4 linked regions of the Caenorhabditis elegans genome follow. The protein of the gene in region 2 interacts with the protein of the main gene of each other region in a pairwise test. Each region holds a gene or a part of one and is shown on either strand. Other genes may lie near its edges. The genes, in order: snn-1, rimb-1, emg-1 and cbpl-1.

Region 1 (4,632 bases), on a different chromosome or scaffold from region 2:
TTAACATGAACCAATATGTAGATCCTATGCTAAAGTTTTTGTACCCAGAAATTTCTGACATTTTTTCAAATAAAATTTCACATTTTTCGGCGCAAAAATATAAAAAATTTTTGAAATTTAAAAAGTTCAAATTTTCGAGCTTTCTCTACATTTTCCAGAGGCTCGAAAAATTGTCTGCGCTCTCATCTACTAGTATTTTTTGGGTAATTCAGTTTTCACCCAAATGTAAATTTCACCCACTCTCCTTACGCCCGGCTCCATTTGATTTTGTTTCATGTTTCTCTCCGTCTCCATGTGCATTTTGGATGCGGCTTCTCCCCTTTTTTCGACGCAGAAAAGGGGGTATAACATTTCGACTTTACGGGATTATACGCTTTTTCGTCTCGCCTTCTTTCTTGTTTCACTTCAATGAATACAAGATTACCCACACATCTCTTGAAATTAAGAAATGTTTCGTTTTAAATTCTCCAAATAGCTTTAAATTTTGAGGAAAGTTCCTAGCTCTCAGATGTGCTCAGCGATCTTAAACCTAGTAATGTATATACTTTTCTGATTTTAAAATTTGAAAACCATGACTGAAAAGGCCCGAATAGTTTCTTTCGTGAGTTAGTCTTTTTTTTTCTTCCTTTTTTTTCCTATTTTTTCTTCAAATTTGATTAGACATCTTCCAGTGTCAAGCCATAATTAAAAAGTGACGTTTCTTTTTTTTTTTTTGAAAGTCTCTTCTTCTTTGAAAAAATTTTGAAATTTCTTCTTTTAAGCTCGAAATGCTCCAAATAAGTATTCACATTTTTCTTTAAAAAAAACTGTAGCAATGAGAGATTTCAAATAGTCCAAGTCCTGAATTTTTCGGTCTCGAGCTCGCGGAGCCCAGTGTCTTTCAGCTCTAAAAAGCACAAATTTGAATTTTTGAGGAAAATGAACACAAGTATCAGAATCAGCGTGTTTAGTGTTTTCAGATAATATTCATATTGTCCAGGTTCTGAAATTTCTGGGTTTTGGCTCGCGGAGCACCGGCAAGAGCCCGTTTCCAGAAAATCGACACTTTTTGGTGCTCCGCGAGCCCATTCCTCAAAAATTCAAAGTCTAGCCATGTTTATTCTTTTCTAAACCGCAAAATCTAGGGGAATTCAAAAATTCTAATCACACAGCCTAAAAGCTTAAACTAAAAATGTTAGGCCACCAACCTTGCCTCTAAACAATCTCAAAATTTCATCAAAAAGTTTGTGGGGCCCCTTAGGGGGACTGACGTTCTCGCTTTTCAAATTGATGCCCCTATTCCTCGCCACTTTCCTCCATCTTTTTTCTCTTTATCTCTAAGTTTCTCTCTGTGCTCTCTCTCTCTCTCTCTATTCACTTCCTTAGCTTCAACCCCTCCAGACACTTTCCCCTTTTCTCCTTCACCCACAAAATGTACATTTCATGGTTTTTTTTTTTGGTTTTTGAGTTGTTTCTAGTTATTTTTAACTCTAATTATGGGTTGAAAAGGTCTCTGGGGAAATTTTAAGAAAATTTGTGGCTTCTCTCTGACATTTTGCTCTTTTTCCCCCTTTTTTTGCTCACGAAAATCCAATTTTCCAGTTTCAGAAAATGAATTTCTTCAAGCGAAAATTCTCGTTTTCCGAGGATGAGGGTGAGCCAATGGATGACGTGAACTCGGGACCGCCGAGCTCTTTTTCATTTCAGTCGATTGCTAATAAGGTGTCTAATACGATAAGGTACGAAATTTTAAAATAAAATAAAAAATCTCAAATATTTGTGTGCTCCGTGAGCTCGGCCGGCTGGGAAGACTCCAGTTTAGAAAACTTTGAAAGTTTGAATTTGACACCCACATAGCTTGGTTTTTAAAAATTTTGAGTTTGGAGCTCCCGGAGCTCACAGAGCAGCCGATCCTCCAAATCTCTAAAATTCCAAACCTAGGCCGCCTTGAGCTTTTTAATCTGAAAATTCAAATGAAATTTTCAAAAACCTTTTTTTAATATATTTTTCCCAGTTTCCAGTCAATTTTGTCTGACAAAAATTTAAAAAAAGAGCTCAATATGCTTCATTTTCCAGATTTTTCAAATTCCAGTTCAGAATTGTTGTACAGCCTGCCAATAGCATCAATTTGACACCCATATTGCTTGGTTTAAAAAAATTTGATTCTGGAGCTCCCGGGCTCACAGAGCCGCTCATGCTTCAAATCTCTAAAGCTCCAAGCCTAGGCTTGTTTATACTTTTCTGAACAGGCTCGAACTTTTTTGTTTGAAAAATTGATTCTAAAAGATTCTTATCAGTTCAGATAATGCTCGCGGAGCACAGGAATGCTCCAAATCTCTTAATTCTAAACCTGGGCTTGTTTATACTTATCTGAACCACCTGATCTTTTCAAATTCCAAAATTTCACCAGATCATTTAAAAAGCTCAAATTAAAAGTTTTATTTCAAAAAATACACAAATTCTCAAGAAAATTTGTCATCCACTTCAAAAAAAAAAAAGAAAGAACCAAAAAACCCGCTAGCGAAAACATTCATTAAAATTGTAGTGTGCGGCTCTTTTGAGACTGCCAAAGATAAAAAAAAAATAAAATATAGTGTAAAATGAGAGAATCGTGGGAAATTTTCCTCAGAGAATTTCCTTCATTTTTCCCGAGAAAATGCAAATCTGGGTATCTCCATGGAAACCCGCACATTTTTTTTCTATATTCTGTTCTGCTGCCAAGATAACATGTGTTTAAATCACTTTGTCAGATATGTTCACTTATTTCAGTGCTCCAACGTCACCTGCCAAGTCTCGGGAATCACTTGCCGCTGCACTGGAGAGGTCACTCAATCATGATAGGTTTGTTAGCTGGAATTTTGCTTTAAAATTGTTCGAAACAAAAAATTAATAAAAAATTTGAGTTTGGCTCAAGAGAGAGCTTTCATTTGAGTATAATCATGACATGTTTTGATCAAATTTCAAAACTTAGCGATCCTGCCGCGAAAACCTGGGAATTTTCGTGATGGGACCCAATATTTTATGACAAATTTATAAGAATTGAACAATTTACAAACGCACATCAAAGATTTTTGCTTTAAAAAACCAATTTTTATTTATTTATTTATTTACCAGCCGTGGACCGCACCTTCGGCGCGGCCCCCGACTTCTGGGGCTGAAAATTAATTTTTTATGAAACTACCGTAACCCTACAGTATTCCTACCGTACCACTATTGTACCACTACAGTACCCCGACTATATCCCTACACTAACCCCCAACTCACTATCCCTCCAGAAGCTAAAACTTCGCAGACTACAAAGACTACATAGACTACAAACTATGGACAAACGGAATAAGCGCTTTATATATAGTAAATGATTTTGATTCAATTATTTGTATTAAAACATTGTAGGGGTCGAAACATGCGACATTGCTTGGGATTTCCTCAAGAGCTCATATTTTTTCGAAATTTTGGCAATTTGCCAAAACTTTGTCCGGAAATTTTGAAAAATCTAAAATTTTTTAGAGTTTTTTGATGTGATACTCGGTTGTCTTAAATCATTATAAGTGTATTAAAAAAAAAAAACAAAAAAAAATCCACTGACGCTACTCCATCTTTGAAAATTGGTCAGTTTTATTGATAATATATCATAAAAAATTTCACACCCGTAAAATTGCTCGAAATACAGCTTTTTGCAGACATTCGATTATTTTAAATATGTACAAGGCTAGGTAAATACTCTGGTAACATTTTGGAAGTTTTAATTTTTTTTGAAAAAATTATTTTACCATGCGAAAGGCTTACTCAGGTTTAGGCCTAGGCTTTGGTTTAGGCTTAGGCTTAGGCTTAGTCTTAAGCTTAGGCTTTCGCGTAGGGTTAGGCTTAGTCTTAAGCTTACTCTTAGGCTTAGGTTTAGACCTAGGCTAAAACTTATGCCTTGGCTTGGCGTCAGTGACGCTATTTAGGGTTAGGATTACAGCAGCACTGACGCTATTTAGGGTTAGGATTACAGCAGCACTGACGCTATTTAGGGTTAGGATTACAGCGTTTTTTTCATTTTTCAAAGGGTTCCCGTTGGCCGATCAAAGCGAAATTTAACACAGAGACGTATAGGCCACTAAGAAGCTTTCGTGTAAAATTTCAAATTGATTCCATCAAAACTCGCCGAGTTATGAAGCTTAAGGTGTTTTCAAAATGACCCTCAACTATTTTTTTAAATTTGAAAGTTTGGCGTTTTGTCAGTTTTCTGTCTAAGCTCACGAAAATTTAATGACAGGAGGACGGCAGTGAAATAAGTTTTCTTGTGAATTTTGAGCCAATTTCGATTTACAGGAGCCGAGATATTAAGCTTCAAAATCCAAAAAAAAATGACCCTCGCTCCGCCCCTTTTTGTCGACAAAAAGATTTCACTTTGAAAACGCGCGTGTAACTTGACGGTGGGTGGATGGATTTTGATGCGGTTTTTTGCTGTCTTTTCAAAAAGCTTGCCCTACCTCTGTATTCTTTTTTTCAGAAAGATTGGAGCTCATTGAGCCGAGATATTTTGAGTCAAACTCAAAAATCGCTATTTTCCGTCATTTTCGGGTGGTTTTAATTGAAGGAAAATTCGAATACTTGAGATTATTTCACGATTTTTTAGGGGTGTATACAAATTGACGAGGGCTTTTCAAC
Region 2 (4,656 bases):
CTCTGGAATTTTGGAGCAATTTCAAAGCTGTCTTAGTGCATTTTTAGTACACAAATATTTTTTCATTTTTCTTAAATTTTAATAATCTAAGCTTAAATAAAGGCTTCACCGTCTGAAAATGCAACTTTTTTCAGATGAAATATTAAAAAAAAAAACCTCTTTTATTAATTTTGTGCTCCAAACTTTCCCACGGTACGCAAATCATGTAATATGTACTTTTAAACATTATTTTTCCAATCAAAAATATCCAACAGCTTTTCCTTACAATTTGAAAATTTTTATTAAAATTTCAAAAAAATTTTTTTTTTTTTTTAATTTCGAATTTTTTTAAACTTGTTGTAACTTTTTTCCCTGTCGGCGCCAATTAACAAAATACGTAGAATTTTGCGCTTATTGTTTTGTTAGTTAACAAATTTTTGACAACTTTCTTATCAGCTGAGATTTAGGTGTTTCAGTTCGCAATCTGCGTCTCTCCTTGCTCTCCTCTATTTTAAAACCCCCATAACTTTGTTCTTGTGAGAGTTATCAAAAAATTGTCAACTAACAAAATATAGAGCACAAAAATATGCACATTTTGTATGTTGACAATTTTTTGATACCTTTTTTAGTTTTCGAGATATCTTAGTTTTAGTTTAGCTGTACCTTTTTCTGGCAAAAAACTTCCAAATTTCGGCAATTTTTCGGCAAATTTCCCGGCAAATTTCGCCAAGTACATCGGGCTCTCAGACAAGTGGTCTGTGAGTGGAAGTCGATAAAAGTAGTTTACGTGCTCTCCGTCCCCCCGCTTCTTCTCCGTCTCTGCTTCTATTTCTCCATTGACTAGTCCCACTACTTTTTACGGGGCGGAGGGCTCTCTTGCACTCCAGCTTCTTCTCTTTTTGTGCTCTTTTTTGCCCGTATGTGGGTGCTCATTTATTTTTCTTTGGTTTTAAAATAAATTCGGTTTATTAGGCTACTCGTAAAAATGAAGAAAAAACTTCAAATTCAAACGACATTAAAAAAAAATTTAATAAAAATTTTTTGAATTGCTCAAAAGCCCCACCTATATATATATATAGCTCCGCCTACTTCTCGCACAGACCCCGCCCACTTTTTGACTCCGCCCCCTTATTGGCAAAAGTTCTTGAAAAAAATAAAAATAAAAATTCAAATTGAAACAATTTTTTTTTAATGAAGTAGTTTTTTTCTAAATTGATGAAAATTTCTAAACAGTTTACAAGCACCGCCCACTTTTTGACTCCGCCCCTTTGTTGGAAAAATTCTTGTAAAAAAAAATAAAAAATAAAAGCTTCTCTTTCAAACGATTTTTAGTTGGTTTTTGTATGAAAAGTTTTTTTCCTAAAATAGAAATGTCTGAATAATTTGCAAGCTCCGCCCTTTTCTTACCCAGACTCCGCCCCTTTATTGACTAATTTTTTTTTGTCCATTTACCTGAAGTTCAAAAAAAAAATTTACAGTTTCATAGAGTAATAATTTTTCAAAAATCTCTTTTTCCAATGTTTAATGTGTCATTATAAACCCGCCCAGTTTTAAGCTCCGCCCATTTAGGCCCCGCCCATTTATGACCCAAATATTTTTTTCTCTATTCACCCGTGGATTTCCCTCCAACAAGTTACCCCAAAAATAAAAATAAAAATTCCTGCAGGCGCCCACCGGGATCTAACATCGTGGCCTCTTCCAACAACAACCATCAATCGTCTACACCATCATTCGGCGGTAGGTTGGACCGTTTTTCTTGTTGTCGACAATTATGCTGTGTCAGGACTAGAAAATCTGAATTCAGCACGCTGAGAGCTTCAAAATAAGCCCCATATTGCCTAGGTTCTAATAAATATGAAAAAATTTGGTCTCGCCACGAAAACTTGTAGGGTTTGGTAGTCTTGGTGAATTTGGGTTAGTCTTATTTTTCCTAGTTTTTTTTGATAATTTTGACACAATCTGAGCTAAAAATTGAGAAAAAATCTTAAAAAATAATAAAAATATGGATTTTCGAAGATTTTCGAAGATTTTCGAAAATCGATAACTTTGCGAATTTTAATTTTTTCTACCTGAATTTAGTTTCGAAAATTTTGTAATTCTTTGAAAAGCTTTAGAAAAATATATTTAACATTCTACACAGTACCCCGGGACTTTTCGTGGCGGGACCCAAATTTTTAAAATAGTCGGGGCCTAGCCAAGATGGGTGTTAAATGAAAGGTCTCGAAGGGCTAAATTCAAATTTTTAGGTTACAAAGCTTTAAATTGAGTTTTTAATTTTTTTTGAAATTAAAAAAAAAAAAAATCCAAAAAAAAAATCCAAAAAAAAATCCAAAAAAAAAATTTCAAAAATTTAAATTATTAATTTCAGGTTCGTGGGGTCCCTACAACAAGGCGGACCACCTAGTCACCAACTGAATGCTGGGCGGTCTGTCGGGACCCGGTCCGCCGCCCCCACCACCCCCCGCATCCTCCTATGGCATGGTGCCAGGCCCGTCGACCTCGTTCACCAACCATCTGGGTCCCACGACGTCATCCGCGTCTACAGTACCACCGACGAGTGACGCGTTGCTCCTGCAACTCCGTTCGAGACCCAATTCTCGCGTTTTTCGCGCCCTTTTTCAATATCTACCGTTAAGGGATTCGCCGAACGAGAATCCACAGCTCGAGCTGAGCCTTCAGCCGGGAGATGTGGTTCTGGTGAAAGGGGAAATGGATTCGGATGGATTTTATTGTGGGGAAACGCTGGATGGACGTCAGGGACTGGTACCATCAAATTATGTAGAGAGGTGAGCATTTTGAAGCTTAAAAATTGAGCTTTTTATACTTTTTTGGGCGAAATCTCACTTTTTCCCGTGAAAAAAGATTTAAAATTCGGAGTCTGAGATTGAAAATACAAAATTCGAATTCTCTGTGTTCAGAGCTTTCAAATGACCCCCATATTGGCTATATTCCGCCAACTTTGAAATTTCCGGGTCCCACCACGGAGGGGTACTGTAGTTTTCGTGGCGGGATCCGAAAATTTTCAAAAATGACGGAACCTAGCCGATATGGGGGTCATTTTAAAGGTCTCAACGAGACGAGTTCATTGGAGCAGGTTTTATGTGAAAATTCGATCATTTTTGAGGAAAAAAAATTTTTTTTGTTCAAAAAAGTTTTTTTTTTTTAATTTTTGTTTTAACCATGTTTTCTGTAAATAATCAGAATGAGCATAATCTCAGCTTCAAAATAGTAATCCGCCATACTTTGAAAATTCGGGTCTCACCACGAAAACTCCACCGGCTACTGTAGTTTAGACGGAAAGTTTGCAGTTTTATATTTCTAATAAATTTTTGAAAACTTTTCATATACCCTGTAAAAAATTTGTGCTGAGTAGCATAAAAATTGACAAAGTTACGGATTTTCGAAAAGATTCAAAAAAATCAAAATTTTTAATTTTGTAAAATATTTAAAAATTCTGTAACACGAAAAAAAGTTTGATTTTTTCTATTTTACCATTATTTTCGAATTTTTCACGCTATTCGCTTTAATTTGACAGCCAACATTCCCAGGCTCCGCCAATTTTGAAAATTTTCGTGGTGGGACTCAACAATTCAAAAAATTTCAATTTTACCAAGAACCTAGGCATGATGGGGGTCAAATGAAAGGTCTCAAAAAACTAAATTTGAATTTTGTATTAGTTTAACTTTTTTGTCAGCATCCTCAGGGTTACGGTAGATTTTGAACTTTCCATTGGAAAATTTTTTCGGAAAAGTTTCGAAAATCCATAACTTTTCTCATTTTTGAGATTTTAACTTGAATTAAAATGTATAACAATTGTGAGTATTTGAAAAATATGGCAAAAATAATATAATTCTGAAAAACTCGAAAACTACAGTTCCCTGGGGCTTTTCGTGGCGGGACCCAAATTTTAAAATTAAAAGGATATAGGCATGTGTTGGGGTCATTTTGAAGCTCCCAACGCGGTGAATTTCTAATAAAACGAAAAAAATTTATATTTTGAATAAGGAAAATGAAAATAATTTTAAGAATAATTTTCAAAAAAAAAAAAAATTTAAAAAACTTTTTTTTCTAAATTTTTTTATTTCTCCAAAATTTAGAAAATAAAACCAAATCTTTTCAGAGTTCCGGATTCAGTGCTCCTGGCAAATGCACGGGCTCCATCACCATCATTCCCGCTTCGAATACCCCAACATTTCTCGACAATCACACACGACTTCTCCTCTCCGGATCACTCAACACTACCCGATTCTGTAAGTTTTTGAGGAATTTTTAAAGAAAATTTGGCTAAAAATTCTTTCAAATTCAGTTTTGAAAAGCAATTTTGAAATAAAAAAAATTTAAAAAATTTTCTGGAATTTTTTTTTTTTTGAAATTTTTTTAAATTAATTTTTTCAAAAATATATAATTTTCAAATTTTTCAGGTTTGCCCTTACCCACCAGCTGACGTCACAAAAGTTACTGTACAAGAGATCAAGAACAACGAAACGCCTAGGAGTGAGTTGAAAATTTTAAAACATTCTCGAAAAAAAATTTTTTTTTTTCGAAATTTTCAAATATCGAGCCGCTACTCAGCCAATTTTCGAGATAAGCTCTTGAAAACTAATAATTCAATTTTTTCTTGCCAGTAGCTTCAATTTAACACCCATATCGGCTAGGCTCCGATGAAAAGCCCAGTTT
Region 3 (3,852 bases), 8.9 Mb from region 2:
ACCCCCATTAAAGTCCATATTCTCAGACAAGTCACTACGTCGTTCTGAAACAATTGGCCGCGCAATTCCTGATGCTTTTCGGTTACTATTGTGACGTAGAAGACACGTGGAAACCCGAGGAAATCAGCAAACAGATTCGTAAAATTGTCGAGACGACTTCTCCCTCGTATAATGGAAAATTGTTGATTTTAAAAGGTAGAAATTCTGCTAAAACTTTGAAAAAGGCAGAAAAAACCCACGATTTTCTAATTTTGAAAACAAAAAATGAACAATTCAAGTTCACTTTTTGAAATTCCGCAAAGAATTAAAAATTCTGATTTCAAATCTGGAAATTGAGCTGATAAAGTAATTTTTTACCTTTTTTTTTCGGAACAAATTTCAAATTTTAAACAACTTTAAAATGTAAAAAATCATGCAAAAATCGTGATTTTCAATCAAAACCTATTTTAATCTTTACAGCTTTTGAAATTTTTCTGAAAAATTAAAAAAATCCGGTAAAATCTAGAAAAAACTAATTATATACTGTTTTTTCGGCTCAAAAATTTAATAATTCCAGTGAAATTCTAAAAATTTTTCAAATTTTCAGATCAAACAGTTCGAGCACAATGCGTTTTTCTTTGTGTCTGGAGACTTGTGCAGAATAAAGAGTCAGATGGACCACTTTTGGCGCCAAAAACTTCGTATCGAAACGTTTTTCTAGGTATTTTTTAAAATTTATCTCGGAATTTTCGATTTTTCGAATTTTTAAAAATTGAAAAACGAAAAATTTTTCGATTTTTTGAATTTCCGAAAAATTAAGAAAATGTTCAGAAAATTAACCATAAAATATGATTTTTTTTAAATCTAATTTTCGATTATATTGATGAGAAAAAACATGAAAATTTTAAGCTTATTTTTTAAAAATCTATTTTCTCCGTAATTTCAGAATTCAAAAAACTCGTTAATCAACACTATCCTCCACTGAACGTGAGCAGTGATGTCTACGTATTCCGAGAATTGGATCATCTCGTTAAAATGGGAATTTTGAAGGCAGACGAGAGCACAAATGTGACAAATACCTCGTTTCGGTGGGTTTTTTTTTCAGCTGAAAAATTCACCTCAAATCCTCTTTTTTTTCAGAAAAGTTTGGCTTCATATCAATGATAAAATTGTGGAGGACTCGATCTCGAAGTTGCAGCTCCCGCGAGTTGTTTCCGACTTTTTTATGACTATTTTGAAGTAATTTTGATATTTTTTGTACTATTTGCAATGAAGATTGATCTCGATATTTATATTTTTGTTGAGTTTTTTTTTCTGTGAGAATTATTTTCGGTTTAAAAACCATCATATTATTTTTTGAACTTGTTTTATAAAAATCTTTACAGGAGCTTCAAAAATCGAAAAAATAAAATAAAACCATTTTTCGTTAATTCAAAAATCCCGAAATAAAATATTTAGTTAAATTTTCATGTTTTAGGGGAAATTCGACAAAAAAAGGAACTCACTGAAATTTTTGAAAAACCGTTCAAATTTACAAATTTTTTCGTTTTTGAGTTTTTGAGTTTTTTGATTTTCGACTTACATTTTCTCCGCAGAAATTTTTCAGTGTTTTTGACGAAAAAATATCGAAAAACGAAAAAAGAAGTGAAAACTTTTAATTTATCAAAAATTATGTATATTCCTATATTGATAGATATGGAAAATTAGAAATTTTTCCAAAAGTCGAAAAACTCAATTTTATTTCCAAAAAAGCGGCATTTTTTCGAAAATTTTACAGAACGACCTATCGTTGTTCCCACAGCTTTTATTTAAAATTTGTGCTAAACTATAAAAAATCACAATATTATTCAGAAAATAATTTTTTTTTCATCAGAATTATTGAAAATTCGATTTTTGGTCCTAAAAAAATTACTTTATGACAAAAAAAATTAATTTCTCCGAATTTCAGATGTCCCACGAGTACGATACAGTTGCACCGCCAAATGCGAAGCGCATGAAGACGGATAATCAATTGGAGGACAAGAAGATTTTGTACGTTGTACTGGAAGGATGTAGTCTTGAAACTGCAAAAGTCGGTGGAGAATACGCAATTTTGAGCAGTGATAAACACGCGAATTTTCTGAGAAAACAGAAAAAAGATCCGGCTGATTATCGGCCAGATATCCTACATCAATGCTTGTTGAATCTACTTGATAGTCCGCTTAACAGAGCCGGAAAGCTTCGTGTCTTCTTTAGAACGAGCAAGAATGTGCTCGTTGATGTCTCACCACAGTGCAGAATTCCAAGAACTTTTGATCGATTCTGTGGACTTATGGGTGAGTTTTTGGTTTATTGGAAATTGAAAAAAATATATTTTGAAGTGTTTTTGTATGTAAAATAAGAAAAAAGACAATTTTTCGAGTTTTTTAAAAATTATTTTTTATCAAATTTAAACATAAATTTTTAAAAATACCCTTTTCCTTTTAAAAATACCCGGATTCAAAATACCCCAAAATAGTCTGAAAATCAAAAAAAAATTCACAAAAAAGAGCACAAAAATCCAATTTTCAAAAACATGCTTTAAAATACTTTTTATTGGATTTTTTGTGACTTTTCTTGCAATTAGGTATTTTTATGCAAAATCCCCCTATTTTCTATTTTCCATATTTTCAGTCCAACTCCTGCACAAACTCTCCATTCGAGCCGCCGAAACCACTCAAAAGCTGATGTCAGTAGTGAAGAATCCAGTGTCGAACCATCTTCCAGTGGGATCCCGTAAGATGCTCATGTCGTTCAATGTACCTGAGCTAACAATGGCTAATAAGCTTGTTGCACCGGAAACCGACGAGCCTCTGGTCCTTATTATCGGTGGAATTGCTCGTGGAAAGATCGTCGTCGATTACAACGATTCTGAGACCAAGATCAGCAATTATCCATTGAGTGCAGCGTTGACTTGTGCCAAAGTGACCAGTGGACTTGAGGAGATTTGGGGAATTATTTAATTGATTTTTTGCAGTTTTTTCATTTTATTGTTGTCTGTTTTTGTTACTATCTTCATCTTATAAAGTGCAAAATCACTTTTTTTTTTCGAAAAAAAATGCCGTTTTTTTGTAAATTTCAATGTCTATTTCTTACTTTTACACTGAAATTGTTTTAAAAAAATCAAATATTCTAAAAACCCAAAAAATTAGTTTTTTCTTTGATTTTCCTTTCGTAGAGTTCTCTTTTTTTTTTATTTTTTCAGTTTTATTAGGTAGTAATTTAAAACGTTTTAAAATTTTACAATATTTGGCATAAAATTCGGCAAAAACTTTTTTTTTTCAGAAAAATTCTAAATAAAAAAGTCCAGGAGCCTAACTTTTCAGTTTTTACCAATTTTTCAGACAAAATCGAAGAATAATCGTGAAAAATGCGATTTTTTCGCTAAAAATACGGTAGCTGGTATCGAAGCGACAATTTTTTTAGTTGCAGAAGGATGTGCGCCTTTAAAGAGTACTGTAGTTTTAAACTTTCGTTGTTGCGGAATTTTTATTGATTTTTTGTAGTTTTTCGATAAATTATCGATTAAAAAAAAAAGATAAACTCAAATAAAAAATTAAAAAATACAAGAAAACTGTAAAATATTATAAATTTCAACATAACTGGAGAAAAACTGTAAAAAAATTTGAAAAAAAAAAACAATTTTCATATTTTCTCTCCAGTTCTGATAGAATTTCTGACATTTTAAACTTTTTTTTTTACTTTTTATCATAAAAACTATGGCAAATTAAGGAAAATTCTGCAGAAATGAAATTTGGAAATTACAGTACTCTTTAAAGGCGCACAATATTTGGCATAAAAAATCTTCGCTTCGAGACCAGGTACAGTAGTTTTGACACCGAAAACGGGCCATTT
Region 4 (5,481 bases), on a different chromosome or scaffold from region 2:
AATAATTCATCAGAAGTTATCAATTTTCCTTCATCATCGACGTATTCTGTTCGGATAATATGTCGAGGTGTTATTTCTCCGGCACATCCAATTCTAAACATAGTAAAATTATGAAATTTAAGAACAGTGGAACTCAAACTTCGTTAACTTGCTTCCAATCTCAACCACAACTGCACTTTTTCCATTATCGATTGAACTGATAGCTTGAGATAAAGTTGTCGATGAAAGCGAGATTGATTGATTTGAAACTCCCGACGAACTCCGTCGAGCCGCCTTCAGCGACTCCAACGTTGATTGAGCAGTTGATGCCAGTTTGAACACTACAATATTGATTTTAAGATGATTTAATCTTAAAAAGAAAGGAGTAATTACGAATGTGGCACAATAAATAATGATTGATTCGTCTAATTAAAGTAAAATCTTGATAAAACATTAAAACAAAAAAGTCGTTCTCAATTGAGCGCTTACCGTATACGTGTGCAAACACCATGTATCTTCTATTGCGTACCGCGCGCAGTATATTACGCGCAAAGTTTTTGCGACTCTGAGTGACGTCACCAGACATTTTCTTATCGCTTTCTCGTTTACCGCCAGTTTAAATAATTATTTTATCACTTTTTATAAGTTTTTATCATTTCGCGTAATTACAGTAATCTTTTTATTAAAGGATTTGTTGCTTGATAGTGAACTAAAATAGGTTAACTTTGATTTTTAATGAGAGAGACATCATCGATTGCAGGTTTAGATTAGTTGTATCCATTTCTCTGACTCGAAATCTCTTTTTGCGTACTAATTTTTCAAAATAACCATCGATCTTCATCCAGATTTGAGGAAAATTCCTGTTTATTATTTTCAATATCTGGAAGGCTAAATAGAAAAAATGTTTGACTCGTTTAGGAATCCTAAATTTTGGAGATATAAAATTTGCGTCTTTCAATATTCAACTATTTGGGATATGATTTCCTTTTTTGCAATTATGGATTCTTACTAGAAAAACTACCAGACTCTGGCAAACATTCTCCTCCGCCTTGTTTGCTTTTTTCGTTGCTGGTCATCTTCAACAAACAGTGTACTTAAGCTCAGCATCACCACCGTGTTTTTTCATGGTGAAAACAACCCAGTTAAAATGGCTGAACAAGATGTTTAGATTTTTCTCGATAACATCTGATTGTGTAGGTCACCTTTACAAAGTTCATTTGAACTTTTTGCTATATCGTTATTCGAACGGATCTTCTCTCTTAACATAAAAGTTCCTTGCAATAGATATCGTTCAAAACGAACCAAGTGTCATCACTTGGAGCGGAGCCAGTAGAGCCCTGCTCTCGACATGTGAGAGCCCGGTCGCAAGGCATAGGGAATGACAACATTTCGTCTGCGTCTCCACCTCTTCAAGCAATCACTGTGAAATAGAAGCACACGAAGTTACACACTTGAATCCCTTTCTCTATATCCCTCGGTCTCTAGTTCTTCAGTTTATCCACGTTCAACGTCTGCTTTTTCTTCTTCTGCATCGACTTCGTGTTTTTTTCTCCAGAAATTTCGAAAACGTTTCAAAAATAATTTTTCCAGACTTCTGCTTCACGGCGTTTGCCGTGTTTCTTTCACGATGCCAAATTTACTCGATGACAGTTTTGATCCAACTTTTCAATCAACATCAAAAGTGAGTTTTAATTCCACAAGGAACATAAAATTGTAAGCAAAGTTTGTATACTCTAATTTTTAATATTCACAGTCTCAAATTATTCTAAGATTGCAAATTAACGCTCATTTTCCGAGTGATTGAGCCACACCCAAAGTTTTGAAAATATATAATTTATCAGTAATTAACCAAAAACTTCTACAATGTTCAGAAATTGGTACTTCCGTCTATTCGAAAGGTTCAGCCCGAATATGACAATCTTCCCGAAGAGCAGGGGGTTAACGATTTCTCAAGTGATGAACTGATGAAATTGCTCTCGTTCATGGAAGGTGAAGTTCAAGCAAGAGAAGATGTCATTGATCATCTGAAACGTGAAAGAACGAAAATTCTACTATCCGAAGCTAAATATGGAAAACTAAATATGAACGATCCATTTGCTGCGTTGCGACGAGATTCGGCAATTACTGGCGAACAGATTGATGAAGAGAAGATTGTTCAAATGTACGAGTCACAAGTGGATCAGTTGGATAAGATGATGGCAGTGCAAAAGCAATCGCAAAGAAATGCGGCTGTGGTAATTAAATTTTTGTGCAGCTCCCTCTATTTACACCAATCAAAAAAGTTTTCAGCTGTTGGTTGCGCTGGAGAAGAAGCAATATAAACTCGTGAAAAAGTTGGAGGCGGATAGAGAAGCTAAAATAAGGTGAGTTATATATTACGAAATAAGAAAATACCTTAATAAACATTATAACTCGACTCATACGCCTAAAATTTAGAACAAATCTTTAGGTACGCGAAACAAGGAGATGATTTGGTCGCTCACTTGGAAAAAGAACGAAATCAACTTCAACAACAAATTGAATTTCATATTGAGGAGAAACGCAAAGCCGAAATCGCAAAGGATAAAATGGAAATGACACTTGGAAATGAGAAAAAACGTCACGAATCAATCGTTTTGTATTTGATACAAGAACGCAAACAAATGCTTTTAAAAATGCACGAATTAAGAGTGAAAGCCGAACAAATTATGCTTCAAAATCAAAATGATCCTACCAAACGTGAGTTAACTGCAAAATAAGTTTTTTTAGTTCAATAAAACTTTCAGCTGGTCCATCATCAGCGTTAAGTGAACGCGAGCTTATTGAGGAGCTGAAAAAAGAAGTCACGTTTTTACGAGCAGAACGGGAATCGCTCACAAAAACTCAGAAAATGGTGAAAACTGAAAATCTGAGCCTTCGAGAAACAGTTCGTGGACAAGAAGCCGATCTTCAGATGCTTCGACGGAATCTGACGTTAACTGGAGCAAAAATGTCAATTGATAAGCCTGGGAATGTAGTGAGTTTTGTTTCAAATTTTCAATTTTCCTGAAACGGTCATAGAAATTTGGTTTATCGATGTCTCTAAATGTCAAAAGAATTGTTTTAAATTAGCTCTTGACAAATGCAAAAAAGTTGTAACTTTTTACTTATTACATGATATTTCCCATCTGCATTTTCTTTTATCAGTTGAACATAATAAGACAACCTTCACATAGTTGATTGCACTCATGATTAGCAAAATTTAGCTCTCAAAACAAGTTATGGAATTTCCGCATTTCATATTTTATGTTATTGCAGCTACCTCAACTTCCACCCGACACAGGATCCCTAATAATGGCGAATCGAGGTGCAAAACCAGCAGTTAATAGACAACAGCCAGCTCCTCCTCCTGTAGCTCGTCTTCCAAATTCAGCAACATTTCCAACTGAAAAGAGTCGACTTCCAAGAGCTCCACCTCCAGCTGTAACAACACCGGTCCCTCGAATGAGTATTGGAAGTTTGCCGGCATCTAGTTCTAATGTGTAAGATTTCTGACTACAATCAATTTTGATATTGCTATGTCACTGCAATCTGCCAAACTCAAACAAATTACAGTACCATGAAAACTTTCAGACCTCGCACAATGAGTTCGCCAGTGAAAAAGACACCAGTTATGGGTGTTTCCTCCACAGCAGTCCGACGCCCTCAGTCCGCAGCAACTACTACAATGCCAACTACCTCAGTTATAACAAATACATCTGCTGTGATGCCACTGTCGCCTGATCTCGAACAGCTGGAGGCTGCCATACAATCTATGAATGGTACGTTTTTTTCTTTGATTTTTCAAAACTTTCTGCACATTCTTATTTAATTTGGCAAGGCTTTATATTATTGTGTTAGTCTTTTCGTAGTTATGTCATTCTTCAGTTGTTACCGCCAGTCCCCCCGCATATTCAACTGCCATGGCCAAACGGAGTTCAAGTCTTCCGAGAGAAGCAAATAACAATCCACCAGGAGCTCCAATCCGTAGAAGCACGATGAACGGTGGAATGCACACATCTACGACGGGAGTCGTTAGCACTAGAATTGGCATGTTTTTGTAGTTATAGACTTGTGTTTTCTCGTTTTTTTTTTCAAGATGGCAGTTACCTTGAAAGAGCTGAAAGACAGTAGTAACTATGCAATCACTTGTAGTTTTGCGCTCAAGAGTATTGTTTTTGGTTTTCGGTATTGGGAAATTTCCATTTAGAAAACAAAATCATTCAGTCTTTGTAGGTGGAATATGAATGCAAATTGTGTCTGACTTTAAAAACTACTGCAGTTTTAAACTTTCTGCGGGAGTTTCATCGGTTCTTCAAACGTTTTTTTCTAGATTTGTTAAAATTTATGTGTTTTAAAAACTGGTTTTTTAATAAGTTTATTTTTATCGGAACCCTATGAAAAATCTATGAAAATTCCGCAGCCACACAAGTTTGAACTCACAGTACTCGCTAAAAGAGCATACCCTCCTTTTTTAGCAGACAGTTTTCGTTTCGAGACCGGGACCGTATTTTTAGCGCGAAAATCTGAAAATTTCGCATCCGGATAATACGAAAATGAATAAAAATAAATTTTAATATCTACATTTCTTAACTCCTACATTACTTATTCTGTTTTAATATGTTTCTTTTTTCAGCCGGACCTTCGTCAAACGTGGCAAGTGAACGAAAACTTTCTGGAACTGTAAAGCGGAACGGAATTCTCGCAAAAGCGTTTGGATCATCGAAATGATATTTTATATTCAAAATCTTAACTTACCTATCTGCACTTCTACCTAACAAACATTCATGGGTATTACGATTCTCTCATTCTTTCAGTTTTTGCTCAATTTTCTTACAATGTTTTATCGCACTTTTCATCATTTTCTTACTTGTTTGTTTATAGTTTTCATTTCGTGTAAAATCAGATCAAATTAAATATTGCACGTATAATGAAAATATTAAATTCGAGATATATTGTTCATTTAAAAAAAAGACGAAATCTAGTTTATAAAAGTCAGAAAAGATCCGTGAAATGATTGAAGCCTAGTGGTAGAGGAACGAGCGAGGACTTGTAATATTTTCGTTTTAAAAAAACAAAGTCTATTTTCACGAATGAATAGTACAAGTAGGGCACAAATGAGGAGGGGGAAATAGAATGAAAAGACGATATGGACCCGTCTATGGTCGATTTTCCAATAAGGAAAAGGGGTATTTCATGATGAGCATGTTCTACTAATATTGATGGATGCGAATTTGTCAAGAATATCATTCTTTAAACTATTATATTAAAATCAAAGTGTTCCGAATGTGAGGCAAAAGAAAAAAATGTGATCGAAAAAGATTTGGGGCCCTGGAAAGTGCAAAAAGAGTGAGATGACTGGTTGGATGGGTTGGAGCCAACTGAAAATAAGGCAAAAAATAAGAAAGAACTAGACGATTCATAAGAGGCACTGGATGAAGATGTCGCGGGACAAAACACGAAAGAAAATTGGAAAAAAGCATCAAATATAATTTGGTGTGATGA

What was found.
Region 1: the proteins of rimb-1 (region 2) and snn-1 interact in a two-hybrid assay, tested with the Caenorhabditis elegans proteins (one large-scale study listed by BioGRID).
Region 3: the proteins of rimb-1 (region 2) and emg-1 interact in a two-hybrid assay, tested with the Caenorhabditis elegans proteins (one large-scale study listed by BioGRID).
Region 4: the proteins of rimb-1 (region 2) and cbpl-1 interact in a two-hybrid assay, tested with the Caenorhabditis elegans proteins (one large-scale study listed by BioGRID).

Annotation. Positions count from the first base shown.
Region 1 is NC_003282.8:1,812,055-1,816,686, reverse strand, and holds the start of snn-1 (ATP-grasp domain-containing protein), read left to right. Parts: upstream 1-1,587; 5' UTR 1,588-1,590; coding exon 1,591-1,718; intron 1,719-2,748; coding exon 2,749-2,820; intron 2,821-4,632.
Region 2 is NC_003281.10:1,786,690-1,791,345, forward strand, and holds the start of rimb-1 (Variant SH3 domain protein), read left to right. Parts: upstream 1-1,643; 5' UTR 1,644-1,716; intron 1,717-2,347; 5' UTR 2,348-2,394; coding exon 2,395-2,765; intron 2,766-4,099; coding exon 4,100-4,229; intron 4,230-4,400; coding exon 4,401-4,473; intron 4,474-4,656.
Region 3 is NC_003281.10:10,647,592-10,651,443, forward strand, and holds emg-1 (Ribosomal RNA small subunit methyltransferase nep-1), read left to right. Parts: upstream 1-1,927; coding exon 1,928-2,294; intron 2,295-2,631; coding exon 2,632-2,960; 3' UTR 2,961-3,317; downstream 3,318-3,852. Other genes in the region: orc-4 (ORC (Origin Recognition Complex) subunit), read left to right, coding at 27-195, 587-700, 926-1,067, 1,120-1,222.
Region 4 is NC_003282.8:7,902,171-7,907,651, forward strand, and holds cbpl-1 (Cortactin-binding protein-2 N-terminal domain-containing protein), read left to right. Parts: upstream 1-1,569; 5' UTR 1,570-1,606; coding exon 1,607-1,660; intron 1,661-1,850; coding exon 1,851-2,213; intron 2,214-2,268; coding exon 2,269-2,342; intron 2,343-2,428; coding exon 2,429-2,697; intron 2,698-2,744; coding exon 2,745-2,974; intron 2,975-3,255; coding exon 3,256-3,479; intron 3,480-3,570; coding exon 3,571-3,758; intron 3,759-3,864; coding exon 3,865-4,026; intron 4,027-4,612; coding exon 4,613-4,707; 3' UTR 4,708-4,925; downstream 4,926-5,481. Other genes in the region: arp-11 (Actin-related protein 10), read right to left, coding at 1-101; npp-27 (C3HC-type domain-containing protein), read right to left, coding at 5,459-5,481.